Linked DNA regions of Drosophila melanogaster. The protein of the gene in region 3 purifies or fractionates together with the protein of the main gene of each other region. This does not show direct contact. Each region holds a gene or a part of one and is shown on either strand. Other genes may lie near its edges.

Region 1 (7,646 bases), on a different chromosome or scaffold from region 3:
CCGAATGACTAAATGCATGTTTCTTCAACGCAGTCCAGGAATGGCTGCATGCAGTCGAAAAATGGACTGCCAAATGGAATGTGGCCATTAACTCCTCGAAGTCAGCCTGTGTAACTTTTACCCTGCGGCCCGGAACTTGCACAGATCTGACTTTTGATGGAAACAATGTCACATCGCACTGCTACCTAGGAGTTCATCTAAATCGGGGACTGACCTGGAGGGCCCACATCTCGTCGGTCAAATTCAAGTCACTGGCGAAACTAAAAAAGCTCGACTGGCTCTTCCACTCCAGTAAATAATACACATTAAGAAGTATATATATAAAGATATACTGAGAGTATATCATATTTTGTATTGATCAAGACGTTACTTATTATTGGTATACATAAATAATATATGTAGTACATATTATGTACATAAGTATGTTTCGTGGCAAACCCCCGTAATCTCTTTTATTTATGACGATCAATGCAATAATAAGGATGATCGGTGAGGGGGGTGCGGGATCATGGACTAATTGAATTAATAAGATAACGCTTAGCAACAAACAAGTCGGTATCCATGTAGGTGGGCCCTCCCACGGGATGGGCAGGCTTATGGAGATCGTGGGTAATCTCAATATTGCATTGCCTGACCATGGGTGGAAGGAAGTCCTCGATTAGATTACAATTCACCGGCGACTTATCAAGAGTTATTCATAACAATAATATAAACGAATTGTGTCGAAAATTATTTATACACATTGGTAAAATGTAGAAGCTCGGGAGATTCTTTTAATGGTGCCACTGACCCACAGAAAAAAGTCTACTAATTCGGAATATATGGGGGGCGAACAGTCGAGACTCAGAAACCTGGATAACGGATATCCTTTTAAATAAAATATACGTGTGTATGTATGTTAAAATTTTAAATCTTGATATTATATTAATAATAATTTTGTACTACAAAGTGAGATAGTCTGGGTTTCAAATAAATTCCCCTTCCTTACTTGCACACATTGGGTTTCCCAATGCGTAATCTGAAATTCGGAGAAAAGTTTAAAGTTCGCGCCAAAATAGGCAAGTTTTGACTGTATAATGCGAGATACATTGCAGTTCCATTGTCAGCATGACAATGTGGCGTTCGTTATTAGGCCGGTGCTTTTGAACCAATTAAGGCTGCAGCCAATTGATCGCGCCAAGGTGAAGGTGCTTGGGTGCTGGGAGGAGCAGGAGGAGCTGGTCAGACGTTGGGTGGCAGTAACACGTCCGATCCATTACCAATATGCGGTGTGAGGGGGAGTGGTGGCCCCCATAGAACCGTTAATATTTTTTTTGGAGAGCGCCTAAAAAAGCTGCTTTTTGTAAGAGCGCCAACGGCTTGGCGCCGACATTTCGATACCTTGGCGGCTGTACTTGGCTTTGCATCTGGTAATCCGATGCTCAGCCGATGCCACATCATTAAATTTTTAATTTGTGAGACAAACAAAAAGGAAACGTGCAAAAGCCGTGCCGCAGAACGAGAGCGAATCAAATGAGAGCGAGAGGCCATTAACTTGCATCTGGCAATGCCGTAGCCGCAACGCGAAAGTATATAACAGCCGGCACGCCGCAGAGCTTTTCATTCGCTCAGAAAATTTCAACAGTGAACATCTTGTGCAGAACACAGACCAAATATTCCAAAAATGTCTTTCGTTGGCAAGAAGTACAAGCTGGACAAGTCCGAGAACTTCGATGAGTACATGAAGGAGCTGGGTAAGTTGCCAAAACTAATTCGCAGTGCATCAAAAATAGAAAACCAAAGTGCTCGAGAGAGCGAGAGCGGGAGTGGAGGGAGAGAAAAGAAGCCGAAAACACGCCACCGAAAATCGACCGGCCGGCATTTTTCGCACTAGTGTGCAAAAAGTTTCATTGGCCAAACGAGAGGGAAAAAAGTAAATGTCTTCCGGAAAATGTTATATCAACTGAAGATTATGAATGAATTCGACTGTTAAAATAGTTTAGCTACATGCATAAATTGACACCTCATTGAATCTGCTGATGTGCGTATGTGTGTGTCAGATAAAATCAATAGAGAATAGGACCAGAGAAAGAGATGCACATCTGCAGCAATAAAAACGTGCTCCAGTTATTCACCTCACCCTCTTTCTCAACTTTACAGTTGCGAATCGGAGGACAAGCAGTATAAAATCCGTAAATGGTTATCTGCGGTAGTCATAAACCCAAAAACTAATTAAGTGTGGGGCCTGAACTTTGCTCCCCTTTTTTGAGTCACCTCCGTCAGCTTTCCATGGGACCGAAATCATCATAGTGCCATTAGCTTTTGCGACAGGTTTTATCTATTTGTGTACTAGATTTTGGGAGAAAGTCTCGCAGTGAACTTTGCACTAGACTACAAGCTTTATAGCTGCGATGATCTTTGCCCGGCTGTCAATTTAGACAACAATGAAACACCAGATATAAACTACATATAGGACACATTCGACTCTCTTACCGATCAAAGTGCAATTTCTATTGCAATCGTGATTATACTATATGGTGCCACTAAAACTGATCAATACCATCGCTTCCTGTCTAGACGCGCCATAGGGACTAGTGGCATTTGGTAACCAGAGACGGGCGTCCAGATTTATTTACCAGACCACCAGTTCGTCAGAACTTTTCGCCTACACACTTTGCGGCTTCGGTTTAATGGTAGACTTGGTCCGAAAGCCACGTACTTCTCAATTTTCAAGCCCAAACAAATCTAAAATCAACCTGCCGTTGGGGCCTCGCAGCACTTATCAGTTGTCGTACATATATAAATGCGATAAACTATATGCCTATTTATGTACACACATTTGTAGTATATACAATGTCGCAAAAGGCACGATAATTAGGCGCGATTACGGATTTTGCACTTTGGGCAGCCACCCCTATCATAGACCACGGTTCGCAATTGCAGGCCAGTCTAATCTATTCAAGGTTCTCCTGTCATATACGATGCATATAAATCGATCTCTGGTACAGTTGCTGGGTTCCCATGAGTGGGAACCTGGCGACTTATCGCGCCACGCCAGTTGACACTTGACTTGAGGGCACTGGACAAAAGAACAAGTTGGTGGTGGTCCATACATAATTGAACATAATTGATTGGACCACTTGTTGGTTTGATGTCTGACAATGTACTAGATTGGAAATAATACATGTGCCCTATTTGCTGGCACATTCGTAAGGTACCAGTGATTCACACTTTGTTTTTGATTCAACGTTTCATTTGGCGAAACTTCTTTCAAATAAAAATATAAATGCAAAATTACTCATACAGCTACGTGCATGCATATAGTATTTCAGTAATTACAAGTCCCATAAAATTAAGTGACAAATTTTAGTACTTAAACACGATTGATTGTTCACAATCGTTAAGTTATCATTTAATGATGGAATTGCTTTGCTTATCTTTCGATGGTAATTATCAGCACTTCAAAGGTTTACGATTTGGAACGTCAGCAAAATGGATCTTGACCACTTAAGCCAGTAAAATATATATTTACACTGCTTGAATGGCATTTATATTCACAGTTCTGCCCTCAAACAACATATGTATATATGGAATGCTGCACCGAGATAAGGTGGTGCTTTGCCAGATCTATATTTAAATGCATGGAGGGGCTTGCCAATTGATAAGAGCGGAGATGAGGATGAGGGAGGAGACGACGGCCCGCATTGTTCGTTAACCTTGAGCACGACTTTTGACGTTACAGCGGAACGGAATCTGCAGGGAACTTCATGGCTCGGCTTTATTATTTTTAATTAAATATGATATGATTTGCATTGTGAGCGCTTTGGGGTCCCCAACTTTGTTGGGCTAATTCAATTATGTGCAGTCTGCCCCATCATTCATCTTTCGGTGCGATCTTTGATTTCCTTACATTCTCGTGAGATGGAACTTCATTAATTTCTTTTCCCTTTCCACTTGCAGGCGTCGGTCTGGTGACGCGCAAGATGGGCAACAGCCTGAGCCCCACAGTGGAGGTGACCTTGGAGGGCGATACCTACACCCTGACTACCACCTCCACCTTCAAGACCTCTGCCATCAGCTTCAAGCTGGGCGTTGAGTTCGACGAGGAGACCCTGGACGGTCGCAACGTCAAGAGCATCATCACCCTGGATGGCAACAAGCTGACGCAGGAGCAGAAGGGCGACAAGCCCACCACCATCGTCCGCGAGTTCACCGACAACGAGCTGATCACCGTAAGCGCTTACTATACCTTGCCGTATATCATCACACCCACCTAACTGATCCAATGCCTCCCCCACAGACCCTCACCATCGGCAACGTTAAGTGCGTGCGCGTCTACAAGGCCGTCTAAGAGACTGATCTAAAACTATAATATCCATACGACTACATGCATTAAAACTAACTCAGATAGCCAATATTCTTGTTGACTAACAGTGAACTAAACCAAATCAAATGGAACTGCACGCTCTGCCCAATGTTAATTTATAATCGCACCCGTACACCCGCAGTCGGTGTATGTGGGAATACTCCTCGTACTCGGGGACCAATTTCCGAATGCATTTGAATAAACTATTACTTGAAGTGCTTTTAAAACATTCCGACTTTCTTTTACACTTCGCTTTTAAGCTTGTTGTTGCTTAGGTTAATGACGAAATGTAAGCTTAGACACAGCAATCAAAATTATATTAGTTTTAGTTATAAATTTATATTTTGGCATTTTTCCAACTATTTCCCAAATTTACGGTTTTGTGAGTAAGCAAGTAACGTGTTTTCATCGAAATAATTTTAGTTCCTACCTAAAAAAGAATTTTTAAGTGGCTTGTTTGTGAGGCGAACAATGCCAGATATTTTAGTTTGGCTTGAAAGTTATCGTTAAGGATCCCGAAATTCGTAGGGTGTCATATTTTCAATGGCTAAAGGGATCGAGAATACCAAATTCAATTACATTTTCAATTGGAGGTCATATTTTTGAATCGATATGAATTATAAAGTTTCAAATTTCAAACTGTTAAAAGAAATTCCACCTTTGGGGTTATAGAAAGCATGTTTCTTACTATCGTTTCTTATTGTATCGTTTATTGAAGTTGTATGTATAAAGAGAAGAGGCACAAGTCTGAATGGTCTCTGATTTGCTTTTGGGCTGCGGATGTTCTGCCCACGCGTTTCCGTTTCCGTTGCGATGCATTTGCTCTTGCTAATTGAGTATAAAACACAATGCTGCTGGGGCTTTTGCACTGTTCGTGTGAATGGGGTCTGTTGCAAGTGCGTGCCACAAGTGTGGGTGGGTGGCATCTGCTGCATTTGGGGGCTGGCGCAAGCGCACACGTTATCAGCGGACAGTTGGCAGCACGGCCACACTTTCGCCGGGTTTTTTTTGTTAACATTCGTCGTTTGCCGGCGGCGTTAGAACTACGTGTATCCGCATGACGCCGAGTTGCGTCAGTCGGTAAATAGTAGACACTTAATTGTTGGTCAATTGGGCGTTATAAATTAAAAAGCAAAAGCGCCGTTATCGATTTTATTAGTGTAGCACTAAATGCTCTGATAACCTGGATAAAACTACCGCGTGGGTGTGCGTAGGCTACGCGCATTGTGTGTGTGTGAACTCATTGTGTAATCGCTAAAGAAAAAATGTTGGTCTACTTTGCGGCGTACCTAACATTCAAAATTTAAAGTCAAATGTTCTTCTTGTTGTTCTTCAGCGGAGCTTTTCCAGTCCGCCCCAAAAGCTCTGTCCACTTTGTTGTTGCTGGACAAACGGGTTTCCGATTAGAGAGAGAAAGAGAGATCTTCACTGCGGTGTCAGCAAAAAAACGTTACTTTGGCGCTACTCTTCGCACTCTCTGCACAGAAAAAAGTTCTCCATAAAGTAATCGAAACGCACTTATATAGCTATCAAAATACCTTTATCAATGTGGAATCAATCTTTAGAAACTTAATATTCCATTATTAGGATCGAACTGATGTATGTGTATGTTACTCGTTTAGGATCGTTTACTAGATAGATCCACGTATCATTTCTTTTATTTTCAATTTCTGATTGATTTTCAAAATAGAAATATTTTACTGTGTACATTACTGAGCGCGGGGAGAGTGGATACCGCTGAAGTGCTGTTGTTTACAAAACGCCGACCATTGGAATTACAGTGCGCCCCTGATGCAGTGAACTATAGAGAATAGCGTGCTCAGTCTATCGATTCAATTTATTTTACAAAAAGTTTGATATTTAGAAGAATCTACCATTTTAAATCTATTGGGATAGAGTTGTTCGGACTGCTGACTGTTGGATCTGAAAATCCAAAGTCCGTTAGTTCCGGGATGCACTGTATCGCTTTCGCTCGTCGATTGGAAAATGGAATTTTTTCGTAGCCCCGATCAGTTGAGATTCAACCGCTGTCCCCATCGCCACTTCACTTCACCGCTGCCTGGGCTTTCCAAAATTATAATTATTTCGGTTTTTTGAATTCTAATGTGAGTAGTAGAGAACAATACCCGATAGCAAAGCTGCATGAGCAAAAATTAAGCGCGACTTTTGCCAGACAGCAGTGCGCTTTGAGTGTGTGGGTGTGGGCTTAATCAACCGCTTTTGAAGTCTGTGTGTGTGTGTGGAAGTCGGTAGAAACTTTCCAGTGCCGACTTATCAGTGGGTATTGTTTATGTTTATCCAGATTTCCAGACCGATACGGAAATTGGCTTAAACAGCGGCATAAAATGAATAATTATGAACTTGCAACTGTGTGCGATTATAATTTATGGTCATGCAAAAGTTATGTAATCGCACTGAAACAATATTAATTTGTCAAGTGCAAAGAGCGAAACAACCAACGAGCCTGCTGATATTGATATAGTACCGCTCCCACTCAAACCGTCCCAGACTATATCACCCGATCTTAAGTAATCACTATTGAGATTTTCGAACATTTGGTTTTTCGCTCTGTTTGTGTTAGTTTGTCGACTCTTCGTTCACAGTTTTCGAACCTTGTCCCCAAGGTGAAATGAATATGTTTTGGGGGAAAAGAGAGTCAACGATACAATGGGAAGTTACCTATGATAATGGCATTGATTACTAACTTTAAATTGGAGCCCGCTGGAGCCATTCCAGCCAAGTGGAATTCTTTTCCTCATAGAAATTGCATAACTAGTAGAGCAGAACTGCAATTAAACAAACATTTAATACGATAATTAAGGTCGATATTCGCATAGATACGCGGTTCACGATTGTACGTCACAGATATAGTTAAATTGTTTAAATAGATGATAAGGAATACTTCAGATATCATTATCTATGAAGAACAAATGCCATATTTTCATACAAGTTTTGGGGAATATTTTGAAATCCGCGCACCCACGCAGAACGAGTCTATTTTGATCCATTTACAACAATAGGATATAAATAACATTCAATCGGACAGAAATCAGCTGGAATTCACTCAGTACAATAAATGAATTCTACTATTTTCTTTCAGCTAATTCCCCACCTAACACCCAGTCAGCATGGATCGCTCCGCCTTCGCGTCCCTTGTCAGCCCGTACCGCCGACGTCCGTGGATGACGGAGCACGGAGCGGCGGCTGCGGACAGCGGCCAGGTGGGCCTTAAGGGCATCGTCGCCGGCGGTATTACGGGCGGCATCGAGATCTGCATCACCTATCCCACCGAGTATGTGAA
Region 2 (3,227 bases), on a different chromosome or scaffold from region 3:
TGTTCGGAAGCTGACTTCAAGCGTTAGCTTTCAGGCGCAAAAGCTCTTCCTACAGTCACCGATGCGAAAATAGAATAGCTTTTGGAACACTAATATCAGTCTCAAGTTGAGACTCTCAGCCAAAATATTGGTTGACTTACATTTGTAAGCCATTTTGTTAATGCATCAAGCTGGTAAGCAAAATCGTCTGCTGGGGCATACTTTCAGGCGAAAACGAATATTTTTATACATCCTTTTGGCGGCGGGTTTCTTTCTGATGTTTTTTTAAATGTAACATATTTATAAGGATTAATATCAACGATATGCGCGGCCAAATTGAATTCTTGCGGCTATAAGTGAAAATCCTCATAAGTTTTAATTAAGAGAGGTAGTCAAAAAGAAACACATTTTCTTACATTGTTGTTATTGTTTTGTTCTTATTATTAGGGTTGTTTTTTAAACAAGATAATTTGTGAGCTTAAATAAGCTGGGTTACAAAATATCGAATATTTTTAAACTAATTTTATTAATTGTTATTAATAAGTAGGTCATTAAATTTTTAACGATTAAAACAAATTCTATTTTCGGTATCACAAAACTGATAAGTAATGGAAAATTACTACAAAACGTTTATTATAGAGACGAAGGTTTCTGAATTCTTAGATTAGACCTTATAACTAGCACCCTCTTACGAATGTACTAGTAACTTAGGAAATACGATCGAGCTATTGGAAGTGAATCCAATTTTGTTAAAGATAACCCACCTCTAAATAAATTTAACACTTGCTGCATTTTGAATATCCATGATGACTATATCTTTTATTTTAATTTCAACCATCTGAATCCCATTTGGGTACTGTCTTCTGAGTTAGCGATCTGCCCATCCGACTTTCCAAAACCCATTCGAACTATTTGTGTGTTTTACTGAAAAAAAAACCTATGCTGGTGTGCTTAATATTCGATAGACCCACGCACACAGTCTCATGATTTCACTCGCTCTTCACTTTCAATTGGAGGCTCGTTTTGTGTACGTGAACGGGAGAGCCGTGCGATCTATGGAAGTGTGCGATTTTTGGAGGCACTCACAAATACCATCACACTGCTCGGCGCTCTCTTGCTCTCAATATCCGCCTATCGATGTGGCTGTATGTTTGCAGGTGTTGGTGCTTCGCCTCTATTTACCAATACCATTTAACATTTAAATGCTCTCTGGCTCTCTGTTTATGTTTGGAACCGGCTTATCTGTCAGCTGGACCAGATCAGCTGTTTGGATGTTAGATGCTAAAGGAGTTTGCGCCTATTGGACTTTTAAAATGAGATTAATGAAGAACCAAATAAGGAAAACAGTACTTTATTCTAAGATACTTCCAGAAGCATTTCGTCTCAAAGTCCAAATTATGTACCACGTTTTGTAGAGGCCCCTGTCGAGTTTCACACACATGACACCATGCTCAAGGTTTCCCACTCCCCCCACCAAAGCAAACTACTCCACAATCTGTTCAGTATTGTTTTATAATCTGTTCACAGAATAATATACTACAAACAAACACGCGCGTTGAGGGAGCGCCCATTTCCTATCTCTATCGCACCCGCTATTTACGTCGATCACGTTGGGTATAAAAGACAGCCAGCTCTCCCAGTCAGTATTCAGTAAGCAACAAGTGTGCGAGCTAAAAGCAGCTACCAGTTGAGCAACTAAGTTTTTTTGAAACTAATAATCAAACAGCAAGATGCGTTTGGGACAGACCGTACCTAACTTCGAGGCCGACACAACCAAGGGGCCCATTAAATTCCACGAGTGGCAGGGCAACTCGTAAGTGCCATCAAACCCTTTTTCTCTGATCGAATCTTACCAATTCTTCTTCGGATCGCCAGCTGGGTGGTGCTCTTCTCTCACCCCGCCGACTTTACTCCCGTCTGCACCACTGAGCTGGGCAGGATTGCGGTGCACCAGCCGGAGTTTGCCAAGCGGAACACCAAGTGCCTGGCACATTCCGTTGACGCATTGAACTCGCACGTGGACTGGGTGAACGACATCAAGAGCTATTGCCTGGACATTCCCGGGGACTTCCCCTACCCGATCATCGCCGACCCTACTCGCGACCTGGCCGTCAGCCTGGGCATGCTCGACGAGGAGCAGAAGAAGGATCCCGAGGTGGGCAAGACCATCCGCGCCCTGTTCATCATCAGTCCGGACCATAAGGTGCGCCTCTCCATGTTCTACCCCATGTCCACTGGTCGCAACGTTGAGTAAGTACCTCTTTCGGGCTACAACTATTGTTAATCTCAACTGACGATCCTTTAATCTTACAGCGAGATTCTGAGGACCATTGACTCCCTCCAGCTGACTGATCGCCTCAAGGTGGTGGCCACTCCCGCCAACTGGACCGTAAGTTTTTCTACCCACTTAATGCGAACTGTTCCGAACTAATTAATTCTGTTTCATAAACAGCCTGGCACTAAGGTCATGATCCTGCCCACTGTCACCGATGAAGAGGCTCATAAACTCTTCCCCAAGGGATTTGATAAGGTATCCATGCCGTCTGGAGTAAACTACGTCCGCACCACTGACAACTACTGACACAAAACCGTTCCCCATTTGTGATCCATTCAATAATGTGCCGTATTTCCTGACATATACTATATACTATGTGCAGTTCATTTATTTAATAAAAAATTATTTTAACAAAATATCCAAACTATTTTAATTGATTTAATGAAAGAAATTTTTGGAGAATAATGTAATCCAATCAGAATTAGGGGAGTTACTGCGATTTTGACGTTCTTTTAGATTGTATAATGTCTGTTTTTTATTTCCTTGCGGATGGTATAGTGATTTTAATCTATTGATGTATTTCTATTGCAGTTGGTAAATAAGTCAAAACTGTATAATATATACGATGGAATAATAGTGAAAATGAGATGGTGTACCTTTTTTGACAAATTATTTGGTTTTTTATTTTATCAAAATCGTAGTGTTCTTATTCGGAATGCATCAGTTTTTAAAACCATTAGTCGTAGAGTAAAAGGATATACTGGGATTTCTTAAAAAGCATAAAACAAATAAAATGATGCCTTATCGACCATATGAAGTATATAAATTCTTGATCATGATCAATATCCGAGTCGAGGCTGAGCTGTCCGTCTGCATGAACGCCTTTGAAATTTATTCATTTTATTATACATATGTTGAACTTTCTCGTTCGCACTCCCACTAGCTAATTAAAGAGTATCTGATAGTCGAGGAA
Region 3 (4,221 bases):
ACTGAGTGAAGTACTCACTGTTTTCCAGACAACAACTGATAGCGGCGGTGGTAAAGAAACGAGCGGCGATTGCGAGAGCCCATGAAATCGTGGTGCGGCTTTTGGAGCCCGGAATACCGGAGCCCGAGTTCCTGTCCCTGGTAAAATAATGCAAATTAAAAGCTTGACGGGTAGACTAAGCATTTCCTGTACACGCAGCTCTGTGAGATTGGCCCCCCAAATTATTCAGACATAGTGGATGAGCGGGAAATAAACAAACTTTGCGGATATCCACTTTGTTCGACAGTTCTAGAAAAGTAAGTGTTCCAACAGAATCTAGAGGTTCTTCCAATAATTATCCTTTATAACTACTCTTTTAGCGTTCCCAAGCAAAAGTACAGTATCTCCGCTTCCAAAAACAAAGTATACGACATCACAGAACGCAAGAAATTCTGTTCCGGATACTGTTTTAAGGCCTCCGAATATATTAAGTCACAGGTGCCCACATCGCCATTGTGGCTGCGAGATAGGGAGACGAGACCCAGCTTTCAGCTGCTACCACGAAATACTTGACCATCGATATACATAGCTCTCAAAGCGTTTATATTTATTTCGTATAAGCATTAAGACCATTTCTTCATTACATTACTGGATTTTCGATGTGGGATTATAAACCCTAGGGAATATTTCTTAAAGCACTAGTCGATCTGAATTAGATCATGATTATATTGTCGCGCTCCAGCGTCAATTCTGCTTCGCGCTTGGCATCCTCTTCAGACCACTCTCCGCACTTGCTCAGCACGTCAGTTTCCCGCGGAGGTTCGGTCTAACAATCGGTGAAAAATTGGTGATTTCAAGGAACGCAGAAAACACGCGGAGGAACGATATAGAAATGTTGTACTTTATTTGAATTTATTCAGTTGTAGGCAATACCTCTTTGTCGTTGGCAGCCAGTTTGGTGAACATGTTGGCATAGAGTTTCTTCTCCTTGTTCTTGCTCTCTTTGAGTTTCTGCTTGCAGATGATCACTTGGTTGGCAGCCGCTTTGTTGCCAGGCTCCAATTGGATGACCTAATCGAATAAATAGCAATACATTGTATTAACTCAATAAATATACGTTTATCTTGGTTACCTTTTGGAAGTCCTCTAGTGCATCTTCCAGCTCATTGATAGTCAAGTTGCATTGGCCACGACGGTAGAGAGCCTTTACATTGTTCTTATCCAAAGCCAAAACCTCATTACACTAATATAAAATAGTCAAATGTATAAATTATCCGATTTGAGCGCATGTACTCACCTCCTGCTTGGCTTCGAAGTGATCGTTGGACTTTTGGTGGCACAGAGCAATGTTGCTGTGCGTGGCCACCTTAATCTTCTTCACCTCCTCATTGGTATGGACAGTGGTGGGCAAAATGTTCTTGCACTTGGTGTACATCTTAATGGCTAGAGCCCAGTTCTCCTTCTTAAAGTAGTTGGTGCCCTTCTCCTTGTACACCTTGGCCTCAGCCAGGCGCTCCTCGTCGCTCAGTTTCCACTCCTCCAGTCCCTTGCCGCAGTCGACGAGCTTTACTGTGTACTCCACTGTGGCATTTGGTGGAATCTTAAACTCCTCATTGCCCTTTGCTCCAAATGCATACTTGGCCTGGATCTTGATTCTATTACGCGCGTTTATAAGTTAGTCTGAAAAGCTTCTAATGCTCAAAGGGATCTATCTTACCTGGAGGTCTCGCCTACGTTCATCTTCTCCAGGGCAATTTCGACACCATCGATAATGCCGATGGCCTTACCCTCGCCATAATCAAACTCCACATCGCGATCCTCAAACACGCGGCCCTCGAAACTACCAGAAATGTGAGCTGTATTTGAATAACCGCATAAGATATACATAGTCACCGCATGAATGTGATAAACCTACCCTTGACAAAGGCGCCATCGCTGGGAGTGCGCTTTTTATCGCTGGCTTCCAAAATGGTGCGGTCAATACTTCCGTCCTGGTTGGGACTCAAATCCTCGCCCTTCCAGCCGAGCATCTCCAGCTAAGAGGAAGAGTTTTAACGGTTAGTTAGGAGTTACTCATCTATATGTAAAATTCTTAAGAAACGCATAAAATCTGGAATTTTCCATATTTAGTTAACCAATAAAATTTCATTTCCTACCTCAAAAATCAGAGTAGCATCCGGCGGAATGGCTGGCGGGCTGCCGGCAGCTCCGTAAGCGTAGTTTGGAGCACATGTTAGGAAGCAGCGCTCGCCGAGCTTCATGGTGGCAACTCCCATGTCGAAGGCCTTGATCACATTGCCTGCAGGTGTCCGGTGGCAAGTACATTAAATAGAAGTTTCGCGAATTTGCCGGCGACACACTCACCTTTGCCGAGCGAAAATTCGAAGGGCTCATTGCGACTGAGGCTGGAATCGAATTCCGTGCCATCGACCAGGCGACCCGTATAGTGCAGGGACACAGTGCATCCGCTGTGCGGCGTCTCTGTGCCCGTGCCCTCTTTCAGGATCTCCTTTAGGACGCCACCGTCCCCGGACAAGTCGATTTTATTCCCTTCCGGCATTTTTGGCTGCTGAACTTTAATTCGCACGATGATGGCAGAGTGACCAAGCTCAAGCACGTTGGAAAGACCGTATTGATTATTGGGCTCGTGCGTTTTTCAGTCGCTTAACAGAACTGAGTTAACAGTCAGTGCTAACTAAAGCGCCATCTATAGTATTAGGACAGTTAAGGCAGTGGGTACAAAACACAGATAACTAGCTCGGACTCGAACCGTATCACATACCTATTAAAATGGTTTATTAGCTAGAATATTGAAATTTCTTGAGCTAATTAACGATAAAAACTTGAGAAATGCTATTAGAAATACAAACTTTATTTAGTTCGCATATGTTTCAAAATGACGAACAAGCTAATAGGAATAATTTTGTTATATATTAAGTTCGGCACTATGAATAATATTAGCTAAAATGCATATACCGTTCATTGTCTATTTGGTACAATTACAAGTCATTTTCTTGATTAATCCATTTCGGCCGCAATTAATGATATTAAAGGATGTCTGTTGTTCATTTCATTGTGTTGGCGGCTACAACAACAACACACACACACACACAGTGCTCTCCAAATGTAATCTGCCCAGCGGCTTTATGATTGCATGTGCATCCCTATAAGTGTATGCATCAAATATAATCCTGTTATCGTTTTTGTTATATTTGATTATTTTGCCCTTGGCTTTTGGCAGTGCCAACTTCCAATTTCGTATGCCAGCGCAAGAGCAACAGAAATAAATTAATGCACTTAATTTTATTGGTTTCTATAATTCATGCTCGTAAGCTCGTCTGCTATAAGCTCTCCCGCACAGTAGGCCAATTTGGGGGATTATCGCAATGGGCATTCAACGATTTTTTCAAGGTCAACTGGAATGATAAAAATGATAAGTGTGCTCATGTTGCTGGATTCATTCTTCTTCCTACCAGCCAGCTGTGACATTATTTCCTTGGAATTCCGCCTGTGTCTTTATAAATCGCTGCAGCTGTCGCTGTCTCCTCCGCCTACTAAAATATTAGCCAGTCATCCAGCAGCGTTTCATCTTCGAGCTTCGGCACCAACTTCATAAAAGCCCAGAGTCTGGGCGCGCACTTGTCGCTCATTAATTAGGGTTCGTCTACAGGGATGACTACGCTGGAAAAATATTGTATATTACAATATTCCTTCAAAAAAAACGTAGTTTATTTAATAAATACATATACATAGTTAAGAAATAAATTGAACAAAAGTAATCAAATAATACACAATCAAACTAACTAAAGGGCTTATATATGAATGACGTATACGCAATATTATTAAGTATACGTTAGATGTATTAGAAACTTATATTATTGTATAATAAAAAAGATTATTAACTTAATTGTGAGAAGTGTCAACTGAAACGTTTAGAAGTCCATTAAGATGCTATTATAAATGGTGCCACAGGGCTTAGACTTTCGCTTCGGTATGCAATAGTCGTACTTCTTTTGGGCTTAAAGTATGTCAGCATATGCGAATCTCCAGATCTCCAGAGATTCTAGTGACTCCCTCGAAAGCAGCATATATATTTTTTTTTGAGTGCTCCGAGCCGTGTCCCTGTCCAGGCCCATTATTTTTTCAGGTATAGTATAGAGACATTGACCAGCGACGGACGCCCACAATCACGCTGCCTCGGCTGCTGTTGGCGTCTCCGCTGGCAGAGGTCCTGCTGTTGCT
Region 4 (4,808 bases), on a different chromosome or scaffold from region 3:
CACTTTCTGACTTTGCGTTGCCTTTCAGCTCAATTAACTAGCACGGAATCTACCTACGAACTTTCTTGCATGAGCACACAAAAATGAGTTTAGAAAATGTATTAATTATTTATTTATTATTTTATTTAAATTAAAAAAATAGTCTTTTTGGATTATCAAATAACTCACGTATTATTTTTAAATATGAGTGTTAAAGTTAACGAATCAGTGCTTCGAAAACTGTGAGTGGTTGGGATTTCCCCGGGGGGTTGGTGGGTGGCAATGTCGCAGTGTTTGTGAGCGTGTGTGCGGGTGTTTGGTGTGTGTGTTGGGGGTGTCGCATCTAAGAAAACGGAAGCCGGCGGCCCAAACAGAAGAGTGAAGAGCGAAAACAAAACGTCGTCGCTGCGGAGGGGATGCATCTGCATTTGTTTTTGTTCATGCGTTTTCCAAAACAAAGAACGATGATGAGGGGTGGGCGGTGGGTTGGCGCAGGGGGGGCGGCCGCAGAGAGCAGGGAGCCAGGGGAGAGGAAGAGAGAGAGCAAGAGCATTACTCACCGTTGAGGTCCTTGGTTAATTGCGAGCGCGTCGACATTTTGTCTTGTGATATGCGAAATTCTGCGGCGAAAGTTTGGTGAAAATGAAGTCAAACAGGAATGACCAGGAAAAAAGGGCCAACAAAATTGGCTCTAAAGCGGCTGTTTTCGCTGTTGTTGTTGCTGCTGCTACTGCTGCTGTTGTTGGTGTGTTGGTGGTGGTTCAATTTCAATCCTGACACGCCTTGCAGCCCGAAACTGGATTCTTGAGCTGCTCCCGCACTAAAAACCGCACATCGGACATTGCGCCTGTTTGCCCATATTTTCGTTTCGACTGCCTTAATTTATTTTTTGACCAACTCCTTGTTTTTCCAGGCTTTTCTTATTCTTATTCACATTATTTGCACACACGAGCAGGACTTTCGTTTCGGTTTTTCACGCGTTTCCACCCTCGTCGCGGAGTCGGAAAACGGAAAATTCACTGAGTCGCCGCCGCACAGACAGCAGTTGGCTTTTCCTCCGGCACTTGGGCTTAAATCTTCTTGTGTTATTCGTGAATTTAGAACTTTTGCTCCGAGTTCACCAGCATATTTGTGTATATTCGCGTTTTTTTTCACTTCGCCTTCGGCATTTTGGTTTTTTGTTAACGGCAGCCTAGATAGCAATTCCTGAGCGAAGTACTGTTCGGACCGGAGTGCCTTTAATTTATGACTAACTAAATCCGGCGAGTTAAGTTAGTTTGCGAAAATGGCCAACAAATTAATAAATTCACGATCCGCACACCCAGCCAGTTTCAGTTTCAGTTTCGACTCAGTGTGACCAGAGTTGGGAGAGGACCATATTTCTAACTTCGCTGGCGTTTACATCAGCCGTTTTACGCATTCGCAGTTAACAGCAATGCTGCGAGCTCTGCTATTTTCTAGCTAAATTTAAGCTTGTGAAATGTCTAGAATTCATATTTAACATTTTAATCGATTACGACTTCTTTAGTGTTTCGCATTTTCTCATACAGTTTGTTTGGAATTATGGGATATTAGAGTTAGCTTTTATAGTTAAAAGTCGGAATATGAAGGTAAGCTGTTAAGCACTGAAGATATACCAAATCACTACAGTAAACAAAACCACCAAAAATACTACAGCAGCAATGGATTACGCCGCTTTCCAACACAACGTAAGTGGCTTCCTGGTGAATGCCAAACAAACCGATTTCAATTGCCTCAACGACTTCAAGCCGCTTAAATGGCAAACGTGCGCTGTTTATACAAGCTTATTCGTCTGCAGAAGCTCCTGCTGCCGCTCAGTAAGTAGTGTGAACTCCCCAATTCACCTGTTAGCCGCGAATTCACCGCGTGTGCTCATTACGAAAGAGAGTCCGCAACCGACAATCAGCTGTTCGATCGAGTTGTGCGTGCGTGCGAAAGAAAGGGGGGAGAGAGAGAGAGAGAGAGCTAGTAAAGGGAACTGCTGACTGTCAAATGCCGGCGGCCTTAGATTTTTCGACTATTTTCAATAAAATTGTGAAATACCAGTGAAAAATTAAAGCAAATAAATAAAATGCAGGAGCAGGAGATGGAGGTGGAAGTGGGGGACCCGGCAAAGGCGTCGAATTTGCTGCGGCTCATCAAGCAGCTGCTGCTGGAAAAAGCTTACGATGGCGTGCGGATGTTGTTTCAAAGTGCCCAGGAATCGGAAAAGAACACTCGGCTGCTGCCCCACATAGCCATGGATCTATACCATGACGTGTGCTTGGAAAACATTTCCGACGAGGTGAACTCCCAGGAGCCAGAACTATTCGACTGCTCTGACGAGCTGCTCAAGCTGCTGGCCAAGTACGCCCCACTGCATGAGCTTATGCTGGAACTGATGGAGCGCTTGGAAGAGAGTAGCAGTATCAATGTGTTCGGCGCCTATCTGCGGGCCCTACAAGTTGTGCTGCAGCGACAGGGACGCGACAAGCCGCAGGCCGTTGAGTGGAGCCTGAATAGCATCTTCACCCATCTCAAGGATTTGCCCCTGCCCGAATACCTCTCCGAGGGCTATGACGAGGCCCAAGCGCGACTCATAGAGCAAAACGAACAGGTGGAGGACCTTCTGGCTCACTACATCACCGTGGGACTCTTTCGGGAGCCGCTCCGCGATGAAATTCTGCAGCAGGATGTGCGGACACCCAGCCAAATATTCAGGGATTGCGGCGTCAACCGGCGCAACATATTCACTTGCTTCTTCATTCAGCTGTTGGGACGTCCGTTGGCCCTGCTGGAGATGAATCACGCCAAGGAGGACCTTACGAGATCCTACGTGCAGCAGGTTACGGAAAGCCTGACTCAGGATGCCAACCAGTTCCTGGGGGATCCCTTCTACCTGCTCAACCTCGTGGAACAGCGTGCCAGATGGCTAAGGAAACTAGATGCCTCGAGAGGCGTCTACGAGATGAGTTGCCAGAATGTTTTCCTCATCGAGGAGAAACTTCCGCTGCATGCTGTAGCCATGTACTATCACTCGCTGTTCGTGGGTAACCAACTGCCCACAAACGCACCAAAGGTATATGCACCTTTATTCCTATTCGAAACGATTGTCTATCTGGCTGAAGTGCTACTCAGGCAGCAGGAGCCTCCCCTACAATATTGTGGTCTTCGATTAGTGGAACATCATTTGAGTACCTTGCAGCACTCAGTTCCCACCAGCTCCCTCCAGCTGGATGTCCACAAGCGCTTTTGCGAAGCCCTTTGCAAGATTGTGGGCTATTCGCCGCAGGTCGCACTTCGGCAGTTGGGAATTCATGTGCTCAGGCAATTTGTTCTGGCCTTCGATGATCATGGAAAGTATCTCATCCTTAAAAATCTGATGGGGACATTGCAGCACGGCGGACTAATGGGCTACCTCGGAGGGATGTACAAGGACCTTGTTGACAAGGCGCTAGGGCAATCTGGTCCCATGCCGGAAGTTTATAGCGGAAAGCTCTTCCGCGAGATGTTGCTGCTCTGCGTCTGTGTGCTGCCCCATGACGTGAAATCCGATCTTCTTCTGCACTCCGATCGCCTGTGTCATGCTCTGAATATCCTACGCTACTTTGCGGCAAGAGACAAGAATGATGTGACTGGCTTCTGGCAGGCTCTGCCGGAAATTGAAAAGGAATTGCTGGACCCACTGGGAACAGCGCTTAACTTTTCGATGGCCCATTACAAGGCGTACAAGGAGCGCGTCGAAAAGGGTCAGAGTGCTTCGGATGATGAACTAATGCAGCGCCAACTCAACATGCTCGCCGTCAACATAAGCAATAGCGGAATGGCTGGCGGCGACGCGGAGAGCAAGCTGCCCGACATTGGACGGCAGGAGAAGCTCGATGTGCTGGCCAGTTCCATTACCAGCTTGGAAACGCTACAATCTTTATATCTGCGCGCCAGAGAGATCATCGAACAGTCCGCTCGCCTGCGACGGGTTGCCAATCCATCAGATGCTTAGCTTGTAGTTTGTCCACAATGAAAGCGAAATGATAACGTAAACTGTGTGTAAACAGAACCGAAAACGAAATCGAAACTTAAACTGATCTATGTGGTCTGTGGGTTCTTGGCTGGGGCGATAATTAACCGACTAATTGAGCCAGTTGTGGTGTGCTAACTAACTGGCCAGCGATGCGGGCTTTGCATTGCGATCTGCGCACTGAAATCTAGTTGCACACAAATAGGTACACATAGGTGTGCGTACTTAACACCTAAGCTGGCAGCGTTTTTCTAATTTTTATAGCCATTTTAAATATGTTTTTGTATTTCAAATATATGAATTAGCTAGGCAAAAAAACAAAACTCGCTTTTTCAAACCTTAAATGGTGTTACTACAAAGGCTCGCCTTCTTGCAGATGCGACTAGCTCCCGTTTGGCTCCACTGCAGCCGAGACCATTGACATTTTTAATAGCAAGGAGTTATGGAAAGGATGAGAAGAAAGCCAATCTAGAAGACTTTAGAGCCCGCGAGGAGCAGCGCGAAAGGGAGCGGGATGCGGCCGATCAAGCTGCCGAAAAGGCATCACAAAAAGAAGCAGGCGGAGGTGGTGGACTGGGTGCAAAAGGATCAGAGTCTACAGGCCCAGAAGATGACGCCAAGCAAGCCAAGGTGGATGCCATAAGGGCAAAGATCCTGGACGCTGCATTGCAGCATGTGCCCCAGCAGGGCTGGACCCGCCAGGCCATCATTCTGGGTGCCGAGGAAAGTGGCTATCCTAGCGTGGTGCACGGCATGTTTCCCGAGGGTGGCTTCGCGCTGGTCTCCCACTTCAACGGCAAGTGCAACGCCC

What was found.
Region 1: the proteins of Fkbp59 (region 3) and fabp purify together in Drosophila melanogaster (affinity purification with mass spectrometry, with the first as the bait; one large-scale study listed by BioGRID). This does not show direct contact.
Region 2: the proteins of Fkbp59 (region 3) and Prx6c purify together in Drosophila melanogaster (affinity purification with mass spectrometry, with the first as the bait; one large-scale study listed by BioGRID). This does not show direct contact.
Region 4: the proteins of Fkbp59 (region 3) and CG30496 purify together in Drosophila melanogaster (affinity purification with mass spectrometry, with the first as the bait; one large-scale study listed by BioGRID). This does not show direct contact.

What each region holds. Positions count from the first base shown.
Region 1 is NT_033777.3:11,561,005-11,568,650, reverse strand, and holds the start of fabp (fatty acid binding protein), read left to right. Parts: upstream 1-1,596; 5' UTR 1,597-1,663; coding exon 1,664-1,733; intron 1,734-3,539; exon of another isoform or gene 3,540-3,836; coding exon of another isoform or gene 3,837-3,867; intron 3,868-3,939; coding exon 3,940-4,211; intron 4,212-4,279; coding exon of another isoform or gene 4,280-4,330; exon of another isoform or gene 4,331-4,593; intron 4,594-5,358; exon of another isoform or gene 5,359-5,551; intron 5,552-6,354; exon of another isoform or gene 6,355-6,450; intron 6,451-7,445; coding exon 7,446-7,577; coding exon of another isoform or gene 7,578-7,646. Other genes in the region: sea (scheggia), read left to right, coding at 7,474-7,646.
Region 2 is NT_033778.4:10,417,096-10,420,322, forward strand, and holds Prx6c (peroxiredoxin 6c), read left to right. Parts: upstream 1-1,622; 5' UTR 1,623-1,709; coding exon 1,710-1,792; intron 1,793-1,854; coding exon 1,855-2,229; intron 2,230-2,292; coding exon 2,293-2,368; intron 2,369-2,431; coding exon 2,432-2,560; 3' UTR 2,561-2,666; downstream 2,667-3,227.
Region 3 is NT_033779.5:9,886,461-9,890,681, reverse strand, and holds Fkbp59 (FK506-binding protein 59kD), read right to left. Parts: upstream 2,678-4,221; 5' UTR 2,540-2,677; coding exon 2,344-2,539; intron 2,279-2,343; coding exon 2,136-2,278; intron 2,016-2,135; coding exon 1,895-2,015; intron 1,836-1,894; coding exon 1,697-1,835; intron 1,635-1,696; coding exon 1,277-1,634; intron 1,223-1,276; coding exon 1,112-1,222; intron 1,051-1,111; coding exon 913-1,050; intron 806-912; coding exon 692-805; 3' UTR 563-691; downstream 1-562. Other genes in the region: CG34183 (uncharacterized protein), read left to right, coding at 29-140, 199-296, 360-552. UniProt on the Drosophila melanogaster protein: May have a role in phototransduction; inhibits or prevents Ca(2+) induced stimulation of the trpl ion channel.
Region 4 is NT_033778.4:7,697,571-7,702,378, forward strand, and holds CG30496 (uncharacterized protein), read left to right. Parts: upstream 1-1,929; 5' UTR 1,930-2,071; coding exon 2,072-3,979; 3' UTR 3,980-4,308; downstream 4,309-4,808. Other genes in the region: LRR (Leucine-rich repeat), read right to left, coding at 540-576; Coq9 (coenzyme Q9), read left to right, coding at 1,757-1,817, 4,374-4,808.